Linked DNA regions of Stegostoma tigrinum. The protein of the gene in region 2 interacts with the protein of the main gene of each other region in a biochemical or structural test. Links are inferred from orthologs where the notes say so. Each region holds a gene or a part of one and is shown on either strand. Other genes may lie near its edges.

What was found.
Region 1: the proteins of pdzk1 (region 2) and sdk2b interact in a test that uses a peptide from one of them, tested with the Homo sapiens proteins (2 studies listed by IntAct, with this or other methods). The link is inferred for Stegostoma tigrinum from reciprocal best matches to the Homo sapiens genes PDZK1 and SDK2.

What each region holds. Positions count from the first base shown.
Region 1 is NC_081375.1:25,461,163-25,464,915, forward strand, and holds the start of sdk2b (protein sidekick-2), read left to right. Parts: upstream 1-859; 5' UTR 860-1,671; coding exon 1,672-1,750; intron 1,751-3,753.
Region 2 is NC_081359.1:15,468,807-15,472,559, reverse strand, and holds the start of pdzk1 (Na(+)/H(+) exchange regulatory cofactor NHE-RF3), read right to left. Parts: upstream 3,021-3,753; 5' UTR 2,900-3,020; intron 1-2,899. UniProt on the Homo sapiens protein: A scaffold protein that connects plasma membrane proteins and regulatory components, regulating their surface expression in epithelial cells apical domains.

The sequences.
Region 1 (3,753 bases), on a different chromosome or scaffold from region 2:
CCTATTGAACGATTATTTAAGAAGAAACAATATTCAGGGTTGTGACGAAATGTAAAGGGGAATGGCACTGAACCATAATGCTCACTTTGAGATTCTGTGTCGACATGATGGGTTCAATAGCCTACTTATGCATCACAGCAATTCTGTGATTATTTGTTTTTATTTCTGATTTGCAACACAAACATTTCGCCCCTAAAATCGTGTGCACTACCAGCTTACTAGCAATGTCCATCATTTTCACCCTGTTCACCTTCGTTTCTTTTCCTCTCTCATCCGTTTCTGCCCAGCGGGACGAGCACAACCCCTAAATATTCGCACGCCGTTCCAATGGACGGAAAATGGGTGGGCACGGGAGAATTTATGGCGCAATTGCAGATCTTCGCCGTTGGTACTGAAAGATTACCGCAGAGGGAATAGTGTTGCAAGCTCCGAGCTCACTCGCAAAATTGGGGTTTTATTTGTTTGGGCTGGCGGGGGGAGGGACGTTTTGCAAACGAACGGGCAGGTGCTAAGCAGTGGAAGCAAATTCAACGCCAGGGGCTCCTACCCCGGCAGCACCCGACTCTCGCGCTCTGGGGTAGCCGACACTTCCCCGCGCCGCACCCAGGTGGCGCTGCAGGCAGCGAGAACAGAAAAGGGGGGCGGAGGGAAAGACAGGGCGCGCGCAAAGTGCGGGCGTGCGGTGTTTGGCGGGTGCTGGGTTGGGGTGAGAAGTGGGGAGGAGGCGCGCTCGCTTTGCCTCACGGGAGCGCGCTGCAGGGAGGAGGAGAAGAATGGTGGGGGCGGAGTCTAGGGCTGGTGATTGACAGGAGCCCGGGCTATCGGCAGTAGCTGGAGCAGCGGCGGTGGCGGCCAGACGGTCTGACCGGCTCCTGGTGAGGAGCAAGCAGGAGGAGGAAGAGGAGGAGGAGGACAGCAGCAGCGATCACCCTGCAAACCCAACACCAATCACCCCTGCGTGGCAACCTTTTCAGATTTCTCCCCACCCCACCTTGTGACAGGAGGAGGGTTGGGGGTGTGCAGACAGACAGAGAGAGAGAGCTCCCCTTCCCCATCACTTCGAACCAGCCAAACTTTCCCATTTTTGTACCCCCCCCCCATATCTCCCCATCATCACCTCCACCAGACAAGAATTAGCTCTTTGGATGGAGAGATTGCAAGTTGTTCGCCGCTACAGCAAAAAAAGTTTTTATATTAAAGAAAAACGCGATCAAACTACAACGAGTCTGGAGCAACTTGAGATTTGACAGAAGCAAATCCCCATCATTGCCACACACGGATTAAAGGTGGAGCGGGGGAGTTGGACTGTGTACAACTTTAAAAGCCCTCATATTTCAATAAGTGCCTGGGAAGTTTGAGCAAGTTTGACGTCCGGTCTGAAGCATGTGAAAGGTTTCATTCCGGGAGAGGCGGAGGGCTCAGCCGGGTTCAGGAGGTTGCCGGGATTTGGCTTGACCCTGTCCTCTGGTGCACCGGGGGCTGAGATCCCCGTTATCCTCGCAGTCACCCGCCGTCACCCGCCGCCTCCCCTGGTCTGGGGACTGAAGGGGCTTTCGCCGCCACCTACCACCCAAACACCTCGCCCTCCACCAAGAGCAGAGGCTTTGTGGATGCAGACGGGATCTACCTGGGAGAAAGGGAAGGCTTTTCTTTCCGACCTGCAGTTTGACAATGTGGTGGAAGCCGGTGCCGGAGACCTGCCTTCTGGTGGCTTTTTTACTTCTGAACAGGGCAGCGACGCGAGCACAAGGTAGGGAAGACGGTTCATTCATTTGACAGCATCCGCGGGCTGGGCTGAATTTAGGAGTCCCTTTGAGGCCAGGTCACTGCTTATTGTTTGTTGTTGTCGTGGGACAGAATTTATAGCCGCTGTTTGTTTTGTGTTTGCACGGAGTAGAGAGGAAAGTAACCTGGTGCATTGCTGATATATGTTCAAATATCAAGGTGGACGCGGCAGTTCCAGAGAATCTTACAGCGTCCATGAGTTTTTTTGACAGTTTTCCAGACGTGGTTGTGAGTTTAAGGTGAGGGAGAATAGTAAGAAAACCGACACCTGTGAATAAACAGAGAAATCTGCTTAGTGCAACCGAGTGGATTTATGTCGTGTGTGTGTTTTTTTTTCAAAAAAATGTATGAAGGTGTCATAAAACAATGATCGAAGTTAGGGGTCGAAAACGTTCGGCGGAGTTGGTGCAAACGTCAGTCTCTCATTTAACGAAGTAGAAAGTCGGCAAAAGACTAACTTGGCGGCCAAGGTATTGAAGGATCGCCGAGGCAGGGAGCGGGCAATGCAGCCGAGGAGAGGAAGCCTTCCAGTTAGCGGATCGGAAATCGGGTGCTTAACCCATTGAATTGGTTACAATGCTAAACGAGTGAGGGATATGGAAATGAGCTGGAACAGAAGTCACTCGGTTATAGTTAATTATGTTTCAGTGTGTGTGTTTGGGTGGGGAGAGGGGGCGACAGTTCGTCTCGATTTCTGTATCGATCTTTCACCTCTTTTAAACACAAACGACTGCTATGAAGGTAGATCAGTTCAGTGGTGTTGGGTGAGATTAGTTCAGGCAGAATGTGGCCGATTTTCTCTTGAGCAAATAATGAGCCCTGCTCTACGCGCTTCTTGTACTGTTTCAAATGGAAATGCAGCACGTTTCTTGCGTCTGCTTTCATCTCACTGTTTGAAATATGAACAAGGGGCGAACTCATTCATTCTTGCAGTGATTTGACCACATCCATTGCCAATCTTATCCTGAACCCAGAGACTTCAATGGTTGGTCGGTTCTAAAATTGATGTGATATTTTCTGAAGTGCGAATGCTACCCTTTTAAAGCTGACCATTATAAATTGGAACACTACCGGTGCAGTGAGATTTTCTCGTTTTTTTTCTGACAGCGGATGGCTGAGTTGTAAACAGTTGACTGTCAGGTTTAGGGGGAGAGCCTGTGCTTGGGCGGCTATTGGTGAAATATTGACTCCATCAGTCTGGCCTGCACTTTCATGTCAGGTCATGGTTGCGAATTTGTTTTGTTCGAACACGCCTTAGGTAAAATGGATTGAGAATTAGTATTTCTTTTAAAAAAATACGGAATCCACACGTTCAATTTTGAAAAAAAAGGTCAGTGGTCAGAGAAATCTTTCACGTACTAGATTCGAATTGGTCGAATTTAGGATTCCTTATATTTTAAAGAAACTAGCCATCAGGGTGTTTGGAGAGCCACAGTGCGCCTCAGATCAGAGTCAAGTTTGGACTTGGCTATTATGGTAAAAAGCTAAGATTAAAATCTTCCAGCCCCAGATAGAGGCGACGGTGCAAACTTTTCCGGCGCAACCAGGAAGCTAGTGATGCTTTCCGTCCGGGCGAGTATCAGAACAGCACCGGCTCAAAGACTCCACAATGTGGCAACAATGGTTTTCCAACATGAAATGAACCGATGGCCAAGCGTGTTAGCAGATTGCGTGATGATATCTACAAGGGCAATATTTGCAAGGCACATGTTCCCCATGACAAACATGGGAGGTATCTGTTTGTCGGGGGGTTGCGTTGGCCGCTACCTCCCGCAGACATCTAAAAGACAAGAGTTGAGCGTTAGCAAAATGTGTAAAATTTTAAACGAAACAATGACGGAGGAAGCGAACCAGAGAGAAGGCTGCGCCCCAAACACATCTGAAACTGTGCTAAGGTTGGGCGTTCACCGTGAAGCTGAGGAATACCATTTTAAAGGCCGTTTTAAATCGCTACAGAGCTGGACAGCA
Region 2 (3,753 bases):
TATTCCTTTCAGACCTCTGTGTTCTTCCAATTCCACCCACTGTTGGGCAGTTCTATCTTCAAGCTGCTTGTGTCCTAAACTCTGGCATTTCTTCCCTAAACTTCCCAGCCTCTGTATCTCACTTGTCCTTATCATCTACAAATTGGATCAATTTATTGATCATCTGCCATAGTATCTCCTTATGTGGCTCTGTGTCAAATTTCATTTAATACTTGCTCGTTTGAAGACAGGATGTTTTAATATATTAAAAATACAGAAAAAATATAAGCTAATTTTAATAAGTATACACACTGTTTTATAATACACACCAAACCATGTGTCATCATTTTGAGTAGTGACTATTAATAGAGCTATCATGCCCATATACATCTCACACATGACTGGATACTGAGGGATAAATTGTCCCACCTCTTGATCATTGTAACTTCATTAGAAAATCTGTTCACTCAGAAAATCAAATTGCACCCTGACATCTGGGTGGGAGAAAGAAGTTTAATTTGCCCCTTGTGAATTGAATATATATATTTTGTTTCATGCTATTTACACTTATGATGTAATGACAGCCAGACCCAGTGAGCTGAAATTCACTCCCAATCCATATTGGGGTTTACCAATGTCATCTTAAACTTTCCTGACCGCATCCATGTTATGGAACCCTCCTGTGGTGCTGTGGTAGTGTTCCTACCCTGGACCAGGAGGCTTAGCGTCAAGTCTGACCTGTTTCAGGGGTGTGTGATAGTAACTCAGAATAGGCTGATTAAAAATACATTTTTGTTCCAGACCACAGTATTGTCATTGGCCAGTTGTTCATCTAATACAGTATGCTTCCACCAACCAATCAGACTTCTGTGTGATCTGACAGGTTGATGCTTGGCTCTCAGTCAAATATCTGTTCACTTGCTCCTGTCTCCAATAATAGCCAGATAGGAGGGATCACATTTGCATGAATGAAAGTGCACCCTCTTTTTTTTAGAAGTCCCAGTGATTTTACTCAGTGTTCTGGAGACTCAGGGCCAATTTTGAGAATTGACAACACCAGTCCACACTGAGGCCACATTGAGGAATAGTCTTTCAAATGAAGATTACCATCCAGCATAGAGAATGTGGGTTCACCGGAAAAAGCTAGACTCAAGATCACTGCCAGCATCACCTGGAATAGTGGCCCCTGCACATTTTAAGGTCTTGAGCAACAATTCACATTTGATCATCATCATTAAGGTTGTAAATAGTCCCAAGGAGCTTCATAGAAGTAATTACCTACCAATATTTGACACCTGAAACACATACAGTGTATTAGAAAATGTCTGGTAGGTTTTAAAGAGATTTCTAAATGAACAGAAGGCATTCCCAAGCTTTTGAGACCCCAGTGGGCATAGCTGCTGCTGGTGGAAGCCTATACCTGCTATAAACGGGGGCCCCTCCTCCTAGTCTATAATAAAGAATAATTCCAATTTCACACCAGTGTTTTGGCCTTCACTAATGCCTTTGAAAATAAGCAAATTCCCGATATGGGAGAGACTTCCTTCAGTTTCAGGTCTATCTCTATGAGTTGCAGTGGAAATCTAAGTCTGCTGTGTCAACCAGCTCCCCTTTATCCACAGCATGTGTTACTTCCTCAAAGATCTCCAACAGATTGATTAAACATGATTTCCCTCTTAACCTAACTTGCCTGTTCACTTCAGTTAGACCTACTTTCTTATCACCATAATTACCCTTGTTTCTGTCTAAAATACTAGTCTTGGACCCACTCCTCTCTCTCTCTCTCTCTCTCTCTCTCTCTCCAACTGAAAGTAAAATTCAATCATATTATGGTCATCAATAACTATTGGGACTTTCACTTCAAATCCTATCTTATTGCACAGCACCAGATCTAGTATTGCATGCTCTCTGGTCGGCTCTGAGAAACCATCCTGAAAAATATCTATGAAATCTTCATCGAGCCTATCTTTGCCCATTCAATTTTCCAGTTTGTACCACATTAAAATTCCCCATGATTTTTGCCAAACCTTTCTGACATTCCCGTCTGATTGCTTCCTATATTTGCCATCTTATGTGTATTTACTATTAGAAAGCCTATATACCACTCCTATAAATGGCTTCTTCCCTTTGTCATATGTCATCACCATCTAAACTACTTCTGCATTCTGGTTTCCTGACCATATGTCATTCCTCTCTATTGTACTAATGCCAGCTCTAATTTAAACAGCATTATTGATGTAACCAAAAATAAAGTATAAAACCACTGCGATTAGATATTGCCTTCGGTTCCGGGACAAGACCACAGCTAACGTAAATAGATTTCAGTTAAAATCTGTGTGGATCTCCTAATCACAAATTCTGACAGTCCAGTTGGAGGCCATTCAGTAGATTATGTCTATGTCTGACTGTAAGTAATATTATGTCTCTACATGGGATACCCTAAGTAATTAACAAACTATTTATATTTATTGATCACCCCATTTACAGACTACTATTTCAGAAGTAAGTTATCATACTTAAATAAATAGTGTTGCATTATATTAGTTTGAAAAATTGAGCCAGGACTATAAAACGTTATTATAGAAAAGTAATTTCAATAGGAAGTTGTATGCACTGAGAATTCCAAGGTGTCTGTACTTTTTTGCTTTACTTAAGTTGCACAGCAGGAGTATAATTTGTCATGAAAAGTTATTTACCTGCTTATTCTATTAAACTTCAATAGCAGATGATTGCAGTCAATATTTGAACAGCAGTGAAATTGAAAATACAGATTAGCAATATGTCAAATGATTAAAACAGACACAGGGGAATGTGCGGACACTAGTTATATTGCGATGTTTGCTGCTGACAATTAAACTCGAGCCGTATTTCTATCCAAAAATTAATCCAGGGCAAAATAATGCTCACAAAAAGTGCTTACCAAACTCTGGTCGGTTCAGTTGCTAGTGAATCTATGAATGTTGTCTTTTGTAGGTGCAATCTACACCTATGGACTTTGATCAAGGTTTGGTTAAAAGGTTGAACAATTCAGCAGAGCACTCGACATATTGTGGAATGCTGATACATTCCCTTTATCACTGTGTCCAATATTTAATTGATGTGACTGCTTCCATGAACTCTTTACTAGGCAACGTTTATTTGTGAAATTCTAATAGCAATGAATCTCTAATAATTAATGTGACCACAAAACTCCCACTTGGATAGGGCACTGTGTAAAACTCTTTACTGTTTACTGTCATAACTAAGTGACTGTGTGTGTGTCACTCTAGTTTGGCAAGCTTTTTCTCTACTGGGTTAGTCTCTAACCTGCTGAAGGGGCTTTGAAAATGTTTGGCTGCTTATAAGTTGCCCAGAACTGGATGCCTCAGAATACTGTATCAGATATAATAGGAACTGCAGATGCTGGAGAATCTGAGATAACAAGTTGTGGAGCTGGATTCACACAGCAGGCCAAGCAGCGTCTCAGAAGCAGGAAAGCTGATATTTCGGGTCGAGACCCTTCGTCAGAAATGGGGGAGGGGAAGAGGTTTCTGAAATAAATAGGGAGAGAGGAGGAGGCGGATCAAAGATGGATAGAGGAGAACATAGGTGGAGAGGAGACAGACAAGTTAAAGAGGTGGGGATGGAGCCAGTAAAGGTGAGTGTAGGTGGGGAGGAGGTAGTTCAGTCCAGGGAGGATGGACAGATCAAGGGGGCGGGATGAGGTGAGTAGCTAGGAAATGGGGGTGCGGATTGAGGTGGGAAGAGTGGATAGGTGGGAGGAAGAACAGGTTA